2 linked regions of the Stegostoma tigrinum genome follow. The protein of the gene in region 2 purifies or fractionates together with the protein of the main gene of each other region. This does not show direct contact. Links are inferred from orthologs where the notes say so. Each region holds a gene or a part of one and is shown on either strand. Other genes may lie near its edges.

The links.
Region 1: the proteins of wdr82 (region 2) and setd1ba purify together in Homo sapiens (affinity purification with western blotting; 4 studies listed by BioGRID, with this or other methods). This does not show direct contact. The link is inferred for Stegostoma tigrinum from reciprocal best matches to the Homo sapiens genes WDR82 and SETD1B.

What each region holds. Positions count from the first base shown.
Region 1 is NC_081379.1:25,226,678-25,234,445, forward strand, and holds the start of setd1ba (histone-lysine N-methyltransferase SETD1B-A), read left to right. Parts: upstream 1-4,727; 5' UTR 4,728-4,805; coding exon 4,806-4,930; intron 4,931-5,265; coding exon 5,266-5,378; intron 5,379-5,587; coding exon 5,588-5,742; intron 5,743-5,964; coding exon 5,965-6,063; intron 6,064-6,264; coding exon 6,265-6,535; intron 6,536-6,997; coding exon 6,998-7,119; intron 7,120-7,768. UniProt on the Homo sapiens protein: Histone methyltransferase that catalyzes methyl group transfer from S-adenosyl-L-methionine to the epsilon-amino group of 'Lys-4' of histone H3 (H3K4) via a non-processive mechanism.
Region 2 is NC_081364.1:12,377,323-12,384,737, reverse strand, and holds the start of wdr82 (WD repeat-containing protein 82), read right to left. Parts: upstream 3,136-7,415; 5' UTR 2,893-3,135; coding exon 2,732-2,892; exon of another isoform or gene 2,320-2,731; intron 700-2,319; coding exon 602-699; intron 1-601. UniProt on the Homo sapiens protein: Regulatory component of the SET1/COMPASS complex implicated in the tethering of this complex to transcriptional start sites of active genes.

The sequences.
Region 1 (7,768 bases), on a different chromosome or scaffold from region 2:
CCTGAAACCTGGGAAATGTAGCCAAAGATTCCAGGACAATGGTGTGAAATGTGGTGCAATACATTCCAAGGTTTCCAGAAGCCATGCAACACACATAAGTAGCAGTACCCTTCATTCTTTGGCCAATGGAGCAATTTAAACATTGTTGATTATAGTATGTCATAAGCATGTTCAATTTACAATGACTTTTGTATGAAAATAATTGAATAAACAGATTTCAATTTGGATAACAGTGGCCTTGGCCTTCTGAGATGGTGATGAAGTAGGCTAAAAAGACCAATACAGCAGCAGAAGGAACAACAATGGTTCACTTGAATGCATTCCCCAAACAGTGTTATGCCTACAGGTCAGCAATAAAAACTGGCTGAAGCCAATTTTCATTCCTAATAAGTTTGAACCCAATCACCCTATTTATGCTAAAATCCTTTAGGGGCTTGAGCTGTTAACAAGTTATAACTTGTTTTAAAAAAAACAGTAGTAATATGAATATAAAAATTGGCTGACAGACAAGATACAAAAATAGTAATTATTAAATGTTTTCTGATTTGGAGAAAGCTTTGAGCATTGCACAGGGATTGTTGCTAGGATCCATCCTCTTCTAGAAATATATTAAGTGAGGTAAACTTTTTGGGGAGGATTAGCAAATGGATGTGAAACTGCAAGTATTGTGAATGGCAGAGTATAATGTAGGCCTTCAAAAAGGACACAGACAGGCAGGTGGAATGGATGGAGAAATGGCAAATTAAATTCAATGTGGAGGAGTACAAAGCCATTCATTTTGGTAGGAAGAGCATACTGAAACAGTATAAATTAGAGGGTATTTGTAGACATGGTTGTATATGTGCACCAGTCATTGCAGGTGCTGGGGCAGGTTGAGAGCAGTTAAAGTGTAACTAGCCTAGGCTTTATTTATTAAGGTGCAGTACAAAAATGTTGAACTTGTATAATACCTTCACTGGTTGACGCCAAACTAGTGTATGTTCCGAGTGCTGTAATTTAGGAAACCCCTGAAGGCACTGGAAAAAATACAGAAAGGATTCTCTCACAAGAAAAGTTCTTCATCCTTGGAACCGCAAGATAAATAGATCTATTTTCCTTGGAGAAGGCCAACAGAAGATTTAATAGTATTCAAAATTCTAAGGGTCCAGGTGCAGAATGGGTAGGAGAATACTTCCCACGGGTGGAAGAATTGGGAACCAAGAGGGTACAGATTGAAGGTAAAAGGCAAAAGAAACAATAATGACATGAGGAAATACACCCTGATTCTGTGACGGACGTAGGTTCAACTGAGGCAAAGGAAACTGTTATCTGAGAAAGGAAGAATGTACAGTTTATGGGAGAAAATAGGGGAACGGGCGCTGGGCGAATTGCTTTCACAGGAAAATCAGTGCAAACTATAAATGGGTCGAATGGCCTCTTGCGCAATCGTAATTCTGCGATTCTATAAGCGCGGATAGTGGTACACTCAAGTCTACAAACTTCCTCTTCACTCTTTCAGACTCTCTTCCACACGCATGCAAATTTCAGTTTCTCACATTATAGCTGACTGTCCTTTTTTTGTTGTTCAGCACTTGTTTCTCACTCATCCGCACCCTCGCTTTTACTGCTGTTGATTTCAGTTTCGAAGCCAAGGCCCTTCCAGTAAATAACCACATCATGAGTTGTGTAAGGAGCTTAAAAATATTTCTAGACCCCCGCCACCTCCAAGGATGTAGGGAGCAGGAAACTGACATTGGTAAAACAATCCCAAACAATATTTGACAAGAGCCAATGTCAACGATTTCGCCAAAGCAAGGACCTTTATAAAGGAAACAATCAGGCTCAAATGATCTGTCAATGGTGTGTAATGGCAGTATACATGTCCATAACAGTTTAAGAGCTACCAGAGGTCTCCGGACAGTTTCTTGGCACGAGTCCATTGCATGGGGCTGGGAGGGAATGAAATGTTGCAAACCAATGTTTTGACAGGGCTTCAAACAGGAAGTGTGTAATACACTGGGGACTATTCTCGTTAGAGTCGCTGAGTGCCAGGGCCCTAGGAAATACATTCATCTATCCTAATTGTTGAATTCACATTCCCACGTTGGTAACCACGATTTCACGACAGCCTTGGCAATCTCAAATCCTCCAGGGATTGACTGAGACAAGAGGGCCACTTGACAATTACACAATGCGCATCACGATGTACTTTAGCTTCTGGGGGCACTGGGTCACACAATGTTGGCTCAGTAATGAACTTTGGATGGTGTTGCTGGAGGCGGAGCAGAGAAATTACCGCCCGATTCACGCTGTAGTAATTACAGCACACTCAGGGGTCCCTGGTCAGATTGAAATAAAGCCATTGTTTCATCAGTGCCTTTGCTATACTGAAACTCAGCAAATCCAGCTCACCTCGTGATTCAACAGTTCGAACTAAAAGATTTAGCTTACCCAAAATTACAGCTTTGTCAAAAATAAAATTTATACAATACTATTGAAGTATTTGGGGGGCGAATATTTATGAGATTTCCTTTTCACAAATGGGGGACCTATTTCTGACCCTTTCTGAATCAGAAACGTTTCACTATTTGCACAATGACCGCGGCCTACTCTGCCCAGGCACACCATTACTCAGCAGCTTGTTTACTCTTCATGTTCATTTTAACTTCTCAGCGACACCAGGCACCAGCTCCATTTTGTTTGAGCCGATTTTTTTTGTCACGTACAGTACAGAGCTCTCTACCGAACAAAAACACTACGCCTCAGGGCTATTTGTAATCCGAAACTATTTCGGGAAGCTTCAACCACCCACAGCTCAAACAACTTAGGCACTAAATATTCACAAATAGAAAGGAATACCAGTCGTCATTTTGTTGCATCAGCCGGCCATGACTTGTACGTTCCATCGAAAAGCAACAACAAAAAAAGCAAACATTTCCATTCGAAAGAACATCTTAATTTCTCTGTTTAAAGCTCGTTTCCCGGTAAAATAAATCAGTTTCTTAAGATCTTAATCTTTAAGAAAGAGCACATAAAGGCAACAGAATCATAATGACTTCAATTTTATGTAGACTAGGTTAAATGCTCCATGTAATCTTAGCACTCTAAATGTCAATTAAGTGACCCTACTTTTAAGATTAATATGAAATATAAGACAAGGAACAATGCAAATTAAAAGATATTATTTGCAAGCGATGCAAAAATACAAATAATATTTAAAGCATCAAATTTGTTTTAAACTAATGAGAATTTTCAAAATTGGCAATGGAAAATGTTTCAAACATGGTACATCATCGGATTCGGTTTGTAATAAAAGTGGTACAGACCTTCGTTTTAATCCAGATTTAAAATGTCACACGACAGTTGTCGGCCACACACCACCTGCCAGTAATACATTTTGAGACGAAACTGAGAGATGTGTTTTCTAAAAATACATCTGCATACTGAAGTAGCTTAATGTGCTATATAAAATGTGTTTAAAATGTCAATGTCAATCCAGTGTAAAGAATCAATTTTAATTTGGGGAAGAAGAAAAAGCAAGGCAAAGGTTCCATTTTGAAATGTTTGGCGGCTTCCCATTAGAGATCCCATCAGTTAAATATCTCTGATGCGAGCAAATATTAAAAGGATTTTCATGATGGGTTTAAGCTTATGAAATTACTTGTTTTTAAAATAAAAACGAAGTCAAAACTGAAAAGTTAGTGAGTTGACATTCCATTTAATAGCATTTAATAGATTTGACAATTGTTCGCGGTTTCAGAATTACGTACTGAAACGGCTAAAAGGGTTCGAATACATAAATTACAAGCAATTCTGGCAGGAATCTTTCAGTTAAGGACAACGCCTAACTGCAGTGGAAACATTAAGAATCGCTCTACCGAGTTTGTAAAAATTGTCGTTGAGTTAGACAGATCATTGTTATTGAAAAAAAGTAAAAAAACTCATTTGCTTGAGATTCTGATGTTGTTTCTTCTGAATGCAAAACGAATTTAAAAATTAAGATTACCACAAATCTTCAAAGTGTTAAAAGCGCTACTGTCAAACAATCCATATGCTACCATTAAATCGGTTTTCATAAGTTATATAAAAGCATAGAAAAAAATCAATTGTGCTCCGTTCACTTTACAAAGATTTCATGTCAATGTAACTGCAGACAACGTTGGTGTGCCATGACCTAGTTTCAACCCCAAGATGCATTCCAAAGTAAAAAAATCTTCAGGCTTTAGCAGTTCGAAATCTTGCATCCAAATTCATCATCATCATCATCATCAGCTCTTCAAATGTGGCCAGAGATTACAGAACCTAAATTAGATCCATTTTTAATTAAAAGGAGAAAACCCACAGTGCTTTGAAACTGTGAAGAGAGATCTTTCCATTTGTGATAAAGGAGAGCGCCAGTCCTTGCCCTTGTTGTTGCTGAGCGGGGTAACACACACTCTCACAAAGACACACACAGTACCCAGTCTGAGCCTCTCCTCTTGCTCAAGGAGCTTTCACTTCAAGCTTCCAAAAAAACCCCCACAAGGCTCAAGCAAGCCCCGCTCTGATTGGCCCCCGTTAGCAGCCACCTTTTAAACAGGCGAAATCGGCCAACCATTCAAAACCACTCGGAACTTAACGATCGTGCGAGACACCGCGGGGGGGGGAGGAAAGGAGAGAAAAAAATAAAAAAAAATACCGCTTGGGCAGGGGGTGGTGTGTGTGTGTGGGAGGGGGAGGGTAGTTGCAAAAAAAATCCAAAAGAAAACTAAAGAAGCAGAGGCGGCAGAGGGCCCCGTGGGGGATGGGAGGGGGAGGAGCAATGGCGAAATGGAAGTTAATGCTCAATGGGAGTCCTCAAACTTGAACCACCTCGACCCATCTTGTTTGGCGACCCAGTTCGACGCTGCGTAAACCTAACATGGATTCCCGGCCCTGATTCAAAATTACCGTCCGTCAAGCCGAGGCCCAGGTCGGCGGAGAGAGAGAGAAAAAAATAAAAATAAATGAGTTCCCTTTCCCCTTCTCCCGACAGGCGGGTGCCCGGGCTGCGTCTGGGACCGGGGCGAGGCCGGGGATCCAGGGCCTGCTCCCGGGTCTGATGGGGGAGGGAGGTAGACGCACGGAAACGTTGAATGTGCGGAGGGAATGGAAGACTAGCTGGTGGCCCCCCAGACTGGGCGGGTGGATTGTGGGATACGTACATACACTGAGCAGAAGCACACAATATGTGTTGGCTCGCGAAAAAAAAGGAGGCTGGAGCCGTACAATGTAACCTAATCAGCGAAATGTAATTGTTTTCCCCAGATCACGCCGTTCGCTCCGAAACCGACAGAAATCGACGACAATGTCTTTCAAGGAGCTGAAACCCGGGGAGAAGCCGAGGCACCACGAAGATCATGGCAAGAAGCAGAGTTCAAGTGAGTGTTTTTTCTCTCTCTCTCTTTCAACCCCCCCTTCTCTCTTTTTCTCTAATGGTCCAGCGAGCTTAGATTCCCCATTTCATGAGCAATGTATTTGTGGAAGGGAAAAAAGGATTTTTAAAAAAATGTTGAGAACTGAGGCATTTGTCAGCCTAGCTTAAAATCATTTTGTGTTCCTCCCCCCTTACCCTCCCCAACATTTGCAGGTTTGATCAATGGGATGGAGCACAGCCACGCAGGAGGGAGTTCAGCAGAGAGAAAAAGTCACCATTGGCGAAGTTATAAGTTGATTATTGACCCAGCGTTGAAGAAGGGACAGCACAAACTCTACCGCTATGATGGCCAACATTTAAGTCTCCCTGTGAGTGATATTGTGGAAGTGCAGCCATTAATTCCACGTCTGTCGTGTTTGTCACAGGATGCTGCCATTGTTACAATGTTGTAAGCGAAGAAAGTTACATTGCGGTTCCTCCTGTCAGGAGCTCTTAAGCTGACAGTCCGGTTACTCGTTAACATGTTCTCCAGTTTGCTGCATGTTCCCTAAACCTTCAAAACTAAATCATGTCAATCGTTCTTATTGCAGAATTCTGGTGTTCCGCCGGTTGATACTGTCAGAGACCCCCGACTTGGACGCATGTGGACCAAAAGCAAAGAGCTGGATTTACCTGTTCCAAAATTTAAGGTAAAGGAGAAGGGGAACTGAAATAACTTTCTCAGTTTCATCTCATTAGTAGAATTTCCTTTCTGTAGCCTATCACTCTAGCACTTTACTCTTTGTAACTGCAAAACATAAGTAAATAAGCAATGAAATGTCCAAGACAACCTTTTTTTTGTTTAGCATTCGCTAGTTAAGTTTGTTTGAATGTGCTCCTGGTGCCAACAGATCGACGAGCATTACGTGGGACCCGTACCTCCAAAGCAGGTAACATTTGCCAAGCTGAACGACAACATACGAGAGGGGTTTCTTTTGGACATGTGCAAGAAGTATGGCGAGGTTGAAGAAGTGGAAATTCTTTACAACCCTAAGAACAAGAAGCACCTAGGAATCGCGAAGGTGGTGTTCGCCACAGTGAAGGGAGCCAAGGATACTGTGCAGCACCTTCACAACACTTCCGTTATGGGAAACATCATCCACGTCCAACTCGATACCAAAGGTGCAATAAAGTTACTTTTTAATCAATTCGGTTCTCTTCGACTTTGCATGCCTATCGGATTTAAAGTCGTGCTTGGTTCACCATCCGAGATTAATGCAAATATGTAATATTGACTCATTTTAACGCCGATTCTGAGTCACGTGTGCACACAAATGTAGCTTGTTTAATGTTGCTAGGAAACAGAGGGATTGCTGTCGTTTGTAAAATCTTCCCAACCAGTATACTCTGAGAGTCCTGGTGTAATGTATTAATGGGCCTTGAGAATCGCGGGGCTATCATGATGTTGACGCCGGTGTTGAAAAATCCCACAGTCACGTGTAGTTCTGATCAATATGTTAATTCCATGTTGTGGCGGGAGGGAGTGCTGTTTATATCCAATCGGTGGGATATATTTACAACGACCTGTGTCGTTTTAAACACTGATTCAGACTCCGCAGTCATTATAATCCTGCCGTTCCGTAGGTGAACATCGGATGAGATACTACGAGCTACTGGTCAGTGGTTACTTTACCCCCCAGACTCTTCCTGTCGGTACCGATGCTTATTTGGACGCCTCGCCTATAATAAATAGTGAATTTGGACAGGTATGGACAGTTTCATTTACACACTAAATATGCTGTGGCCCTCGATTGGTTTATGGTGCAATGAGGAAATGTTTCATTGACTCCCCCCCCCCCCCCGCATTTGTTTGCCGGTGAACTGCTCGTTATTAGAAGACGAACTAGCTCCGCTGATAGTCATGTGGGATTGGTATGAATGAATTTCTGCACACGCCAGGTTCGCTGGTGTTTTTAAAAGGCTGCCTAGTAAAAGTTGCGCGACTGTCGAGCTCTTTAATAAGTGACAGCAGATTTACTAACAGCAAGCGACGTAGATGTTACAGGCGGATGACTTGCGGCTGGTATCATGAATTTAATAACAAATATTTCAGATTGGGAAGTTTGGGCTGAAGCAGGTGAACAGTAATGCGATGCAAATTATTTCAATATTAATCTTTCTTGAGGTGGAAACTTTCTATACTCTTGGTTTCAAATAATATCGCCGTAAAAAAACATTAAGCAACATCCTCTTGCAGCTTTTTTGGACTAAGGTGTTTCTGTTTCTTATTCCTGTAACAATTGGCTTTTTTCTAAGATGTTCGAAATCATCCATGTTTTGGCAAACATTTTTTATGAACCCTGGTGCCTGGTAAATTAAATCTCTAGTCTATGGTTATTAAGTTAATTTGATGTA
Region 2 (7,415 bases):
ATGAGGTAGTAAGGTATTGGTTACTTTCCTTTCAAATAGTATCAACACTTTGCATAGAAAACAACTGCCCCAAAAATTACATTCTTCCTCTCTATTTCTTGCTGGTTTATTCCCCCTCAAAAGTTAATTAATTCGACACATCTTCTAATCTACAAATTTCAACTTCCAGATCAATTGAAATATTAAAATCAAATTCACAGTTATTTTGATTTGGAAATAATAAAAAGACTGACTTGCTTTCAAAACCAAACTGCAAATGCAAATACACATTGGTCCCCCAGCAATTTGACAGGCAGGTCTAAAGTTTTAGAAAAATTATAAAGGCAGCCAAAACAATGGCAAACTGAGAACAAAGGATCAAATATGTTTTAAGAGGTGGCGAGACTTCCAAACAAACAAAATAAAAAGTTACAAACTATTGTTGTGTTAAACTGGCAAAACATTAATTCTATAAAAACTGTTAATGTACTGGTAACAGATAAATACAAACTTTACACCACAACCTGATTCTGCAGAGATGCAAAGGATGTCCCAGATTTGGAGAAGTTCACAGCAAGAGAAACTAAACAGCTGGAGATCTGTACAACACAAGCTAACTTACCATCGATTTTGTTAGAGCTGTAAACCACTGTATTCGCTGCATGTGTGTATCTGATCAGGTCTACCCCATACTTCTTACTGTACAGTGTCCTCTTTGGTCTGACAGGTAAGAAAGAAATTACATTAAGTGATGTTAAGTTTTATCAGAAAAGATGTCTAATTTAACCTCAACACACTGTTGCAGAGAAGTTCACATAACTGTTCTTTCCAAATTTTACTGTTGTCTAGTTTCAAGGCCTCCCTTATGTAGTCATGCCCAAATATCAGAAAAGGCAACAAAATCATCGATGCATGCTTCTGTATGTAACTGATTAACTAACTGACATATAATGCTGTCCTTTGTTAAAACAGTCAAGTATTTTCTTGACCACAAGAAAATGGACCTGCTCAGGCATGTTTTTGACATACCTCTGACCCAGAATCAGAAACACTACGGCTTGGTTACAAGACCATCCATAAAAAGGAAATAAACTAGGTCAACTAAAGGACACCTTATGACTTACTGACTCATTAGCTGACCTGATTTTCAGTAACAGCGACACCAACAAAAATCACAAACCACATGCATCATTACTGTGAAGAGAAAACAAGGAAATTGCAAACCTCTTACATCATACTCAGTGCCAACCACACAGCTCAACAGGTACTGAAGCAGTTATGACATCCTCTACCTTAGTCGGAGACGATCAAACAATTTACTACTTTAAAATGTAACTCAGATATCCTGATAACATTCAGAGCTCTCTATCAGAATGACACTTATTTTATAAACTGAATTACTCAAATTAATATAAGGCTACACATCAATTTTACAGAATTAGCTGCGACAGGCTGGAAATCAGCATGGAGGGACAATAAAGAACAACAATAACATACTCAACTGAGGCCACCTGTAATAATGGATTAACCTGCCAACACTTACTGTTGAGATTTACATACTGAAGTCTAGTGACCACAAAACTCTGTCACAGGAAAAACACAATGCAAAGAATACAAGGCAAAAACAAATACAAGTCAATTTTCTTCAAAAAGACTTAAACTACATCTCTCATGAAAAACAGCATCTAGGGCACTAAAATATAAATAAATAGTTCCCCTTTATGTGGTAACCATTCTACAATCTTGTCCCTTCCATTTCTCAGATCTACTATGTATATTTTCTTCAAAACTTGAATGGCTATGCTTTCAGCTATTTAGGGCCTAAATTCTGAAATTCATTATTGATGCGTCTTTGTTCTCCATCAAGTTACAATTCTAAAATAATATATCTAAACAGGATGAATAAAATTATGTAACACTTTTGTAGGATTTGAATCTAGACGTTTGGGCCCAGACACAGTGGCACTACACCACACCACACTATACTAGCCCATATTCTCTTGCAGTTTGCTAAACAACTTGTTCTGACACACAATGGCACATCTCCAGGACAGACAGGACTTAATCCAGACATATCAAAAGTTCGCGGATAGAAATCGAATCCAGAGCTCTAACTCAGAGACATGAGCGCTACACATTCCACCACAAGACCTAAACTGTGCACAGATTTTGGGTCACACTAAGTGCCAGCTTTACGGATTTATTACATGGATTTATAAAAGTCTGGTTAACTTTACTGAATTACACGGTAAACAGATGCAAGGTGTCTGCCTCAACTGTAGCATGTTGAGCGCATGTGCTCTGCATCGAGGTAGGCTACTAACATCGTGATTTGTTTGGCTACGATTTCCACCTTGAATGGCTGTTATCTGCAACATTTGGGAAAGAAATCCTACAGATGCACTCTTCGCTACGAAGCATATCGAAGAGACATTATTAGTGATCACCACAGACGACGGTCTGAACCCAGAACATCGTGTTGCAGATCACTATTTCCCGCCTCCAACGTGAGACTGCCCTCTTCCTAAATCCAGTTAATAATCCAAGGCAACTGATTACTTTCCAGCTTCTCCTCGCCGCAGGCTGGCTCTGCAATCAGCCCCCAACTCTCTCTCTCCTGACCGCGCAACGCAACCCGAGCTCAGGGTCTTTTGTGAAAATCAAGGCCGGGATTTCTAGGCCTCCCAGAGAGGGGAGGGTCTTTTTGATCTGAAATGAGAGCGGGGGGGGGGGGGGCGGTGAAAGTACTCACTTGCCCTCCTGGCAGTCGTAAAGAACGATGGAGTCGTCATCGCTGCTGGAGATGAGCGTCTCTCCGTTGGGTGAGAAATCGAAGCAGTTGATCTTGTCTGTGTTCTCTCGGAATACCTTAGCCACTCGGAAGCTGCGCAGCACATTATCCGTCAGCTTCATCTCGTTCTTCTTTGCTCGGTGGTGCAGGGAGGGGCTTACAGATGGGAGGAATAGGACGGTTTCTTTAAAAAAAAGCTGCGAGATGCGCCTTTAATTTTTTCTTTTGAGCATCTGAGGGGAGAGAGTTTTGTGTATTTTTTTCTTTCTCCGATATTTAAACACGACTAAAATGGCGGCGCACGACCCAGACTCAAAAGCGACAGCCCTTCACCCTAACCGCGGGGCATTGTGGATACCAAGCCGCGGTTGGCGCGAACGCGCCGCTACCCATAATACCTAATCCCCCGCCCTCGGTCGTTATGGAGATGATGTGTCAACGCCCCCGTCGTCTCCATGACAACCCGGCGGCGGAGGCGGTGTCTCATGACCGTTGCCATCTTCTTCAAAACCCACCCACTGGCAAATGACCATGACGTCAGCCAACATTTTGGTCTGCGGCATGATATTACCCATAAAGCCCAGTCCTGGTTGTCAGGGAGATACGGCTCTACTCTTGCAGCGCATGTGCGTTCAAGGTGCTGGAGTTGAGTCGGTCGCTGTTTTGCTAAAGGGCGGTTCCACTGGATGGCCAGTCTGTGATGATTCTCTTTTTCCATTTTGCACACTTTCCTCCCTTTTGTTATTTTAACGCTTTATTTTAGGATTCCTTTCATTAGAGCTTTTGTTCATCATTTGCATCCCCCTCATGTCACCATTTGACCAACTGAAATCAGCTTGCCAACCAATCCTTCCCCTATCGTATGAACATCATTTGACGTGTGGCATTTTTGCATTTGTCTTGATGAGTGCACATGATAAAAAGCTTCAGCTACATGTGTCTCTTTCAAGCAATATGCATGCTCTCACCTGCAATGTGACTTATTTGTTTTGATTCTCCACTTGAACACTGACCTCAGTTTCCTACATTGGCCCATTTCTAACATTATCTTGTTTGGAGATCTCATGACTTTTCTATGAAGTTCAAACGTGACGTTGAGGAACAGCTCATCTTTCATCAAGTTACATTACAGCCTTCAGGATTTAGCACTGAGTTCATCAATTTCAGATTATAAACTTAACCGCATTATTTTAAATGACATCCATAAGCGATGATTCTGTATTTTTCCATTTAGAGCTTTTCTAGTTACACATTTTGCATCTTTTATCAGGTCAAAGCCATTGTCACCCCTTTTACCTGCGTCACAATCTCTTTTGTTATTTAAACTCTCCTTGCTACCATATCAAATATGAATTTTGTTCTTTGCTCACCTTATAATTTTTCTTTATTTGTTCTTACTAAGTGGATATCTCTGGTAAGCATTTGTTGCCATCTCTAATTACCGTTGAATGGAATGGTTTCATTGATAATTTCAGAGGACAGGTAAGATTGAACCACATTGCAGTTTGTCTAGAATCACAATTAGACCTGACCAGATAAGACCATGATTTAGTGAGATACAGGAACAGAATTGGGTTATTCAGCCCATTGTGTCGGCTCCACCATTCATTCATGGCTGGTATGTTTCTCAAACCCATTCTTCTGCCATTTCCCTTTAACCTTTGATCTACTTACAAATCAAGAACCAATGTCTACTTGTCTCAAATCTCTGTCTCAATAACTTGGCCTCCACAGCCTCCTGTGTCAACGAGTTCCGTAGATTCTCCACCCTCTGGCTGAAGAAATTCCTCCACAATTCAGCTCTAAAGAATCACCCCTTCACTCTGAGGCTGTGTCATTGGGTCCTCGACTCTACTGCCATTGGAAATATCTTCTCCACATCCACACCATCCAGCCCCCTCAGTGTTCTGCAAGCTTCAATCAGATTCAAATCTCATTCCTCTAAATTCCATTGAGTACAGACCCAGAGTTCTCAAACTCTCATCAAATGACAAGCTGTTCATTCCTGGAATCATTCTAGTAAATATCCCCTAGACTTCATCCAAGATTAGCACATCCTTAGATTTGGGACTCAAAACTGCTTCCAAATGTGGTCTGGTCAGAGCCTTATTTCGCCTCAGCAGTACATCTCTGCATTTGTATTCTAGTCCTCTCGAACTGAATGCTGCCATTGCATTTGCCTTTCTAACTACCAAAATGAACTTGTATGTTAACCTTAAGAGAATTCTGAATACGGACTCCTAAGTCCCTTACTGCTTCAAATTTCCCCATTTAGAAAATGGTCTGTGCCTCTATTGGTCCTACCAAAATATATAACCTAACACTTTCCCACATTGCATTCCATCTGCCACTTCTTTGTCCACTCTGCTAGCCTAAGTCTTTCTGCAGCCTCCCTGCTTCTGTAACACTACCTGTCCCTGTCTTTGTGTTATCTACAGACTTAGCAACAATGCCCTCAGTTCCTTAATGCATATCAGTAATGTATAATATGAATAGTGTGATCCCAACACTGATGCTTGCAGTATTCCACTAGTCTTTGACCGCCATCCTGGAGAAGACACCTTTTTTTCTCCATTCTCTACCTTCAGCCAGCCAGCCGATCTTCTGTCCATACCTTGACCCTAATACATCGATTCTTATCTAATTGAGCGGTGTTCAGTGCAGCACCTTGTTGAAGACCTTCTGGAAATCCAAACTAATCACGTCTCCTGCCTCTCTTTTGTCTCACTGGATGGCAAATTCCCTCCCTGAAGGGCATTATTGAACCAGATTGGCTTTTACAACAATTGGAAATAGTTGTCATATTCTTTATATAGTACAGAATTATTTTGAATAATCTGAATATAAATTCCACCAGCTGGCACGGTATAATTTGAACCTGTGTTTCCCAGAGCATTAACCTGGGCCTACGGATTGCTAGCCTGGTGTAGTTAGCAGTATTCCAGCATCTCCTGCAAACTGTCCTGTCCTTGAGATTGTTTAAAACCTGCTCCACCTCTCGATTTTCCAAATCCTAACACAATGTAATTCACTTCAGACTTTAACTTTCTTTCTCTATAGTATGCTGCCTACCTTGTTCTGTGTTTCCACTATTTCCAGTTTATTGCATGTAATAGAATCTTTAAAATTTACAGCACAGAAGAAGACCATTCGGCCCATCATGCCTCACTTTTCCTCCCATCCCTGCCCCTGCTTTTTTTCTATCTGTCCTGCTAGTTCGACATTCTCAAGTATTCGACCAAATCTCTTTTAACATTATTGTTAGAATCTGCTAGCACCAATTTTTCAAGTAGACGATTCCAGGTTCTACTAACATTCTGCATGAAAAACATTTTCTCATTACCTCTCCATATCTTTGTCAACTTTTTAAAATCAATGAATTATTCTTAATGATTTGCTTGCAACAGAGAATAAATTTTCTCTATCTACTCTGTCATATTTTATCTCCTTGAACCGCTTGATATTTACTTTTACATAGAATTTACAGTACAGAAAAATGTCCTATTAGACAACTGGGACACCAAGAAGGATTGAATATCCTAGTGTTGTGCTGATTGACAAATATGAAGAGGAGAAACAGGCCATCGTGCCCACTGGTCCATGCCAGCATTAATACTTCATGAAAATCTCCTCCCAATTGAATCCATTTAACCCAATGAACATGCCTTTCCATTTCTGTCTCCCACCTGTGTATTTAGCTTCCATGTAAATACAACTTGCTCTTAACTTTCACTTCAAATTATTTCTTGTGATGGTGTGATCCAATATCACTGCCTGGATAAAAGAAAACATTCTGAACTCCTTATGAATTCACATAACAACTACATTTTAGGAGGAAGCCAACTGGCCTATCATGTCTGTGCTAGTTCTCTGAAGAAGAAATTCCCCTGGTGCTATTTCCACTCTTCCCCTCTGGCCTTCTCTGCACAGCCCTGACATCCTTCCATTTCAGGTAACCATGATCCCGAAGTGGATGGCTTGATTGAACCTGTCTCCAGCACTCTGGATGGCAGTCTGTAACCAAGGGCTTACCAAAGTGAGGGCATGGGTCCAGGACACCAAATGGGGTTCACAAGTTGAATGAAACTTTGCAAATTTCAAACTCCCCACCTCTATATCACTGGCCTTTTTCCTGCTCTTGACAATTTCAAGGGTCACAGTGGGAAAGAAAAGTTTTGGAAACATTGCCTTAACCACACACTTGTATGAGTGCTGTTTCTCATAGAATCGTACAGCATAAAAACAGGTCCTTCAGCCCACCGTATCAATGCTGACCAACAAACCACCAAACTATACTAGTGCCTTTTATCTGCCCTTAAAGCAATGATAAGTAGCAGTGTCAACATGAGCTAACTCTGTGCCATTTGGCTCTTGATCCGTGAACAGGATTTACAAATGATTAGTCCTCATTTACTACAGAATTAAGAATATTTTAGGTTTAATTTAGAATGGTATCCTGGTGGACTGAAGGTCCTGTTCCCGTGCTTCATTGTACTGGGTACCGCATATTCATTTGGTCTCACGCCCACGCCCTTCTCCTCCCCAACCATGATCCATCTTCTCTGCAACTTTTAATAACTAAATAATGTTGCTTCGTAAACCGCTGTGAGGGAAGTAGTAGTAGAGATAGTGGGTGGGTGGGAAG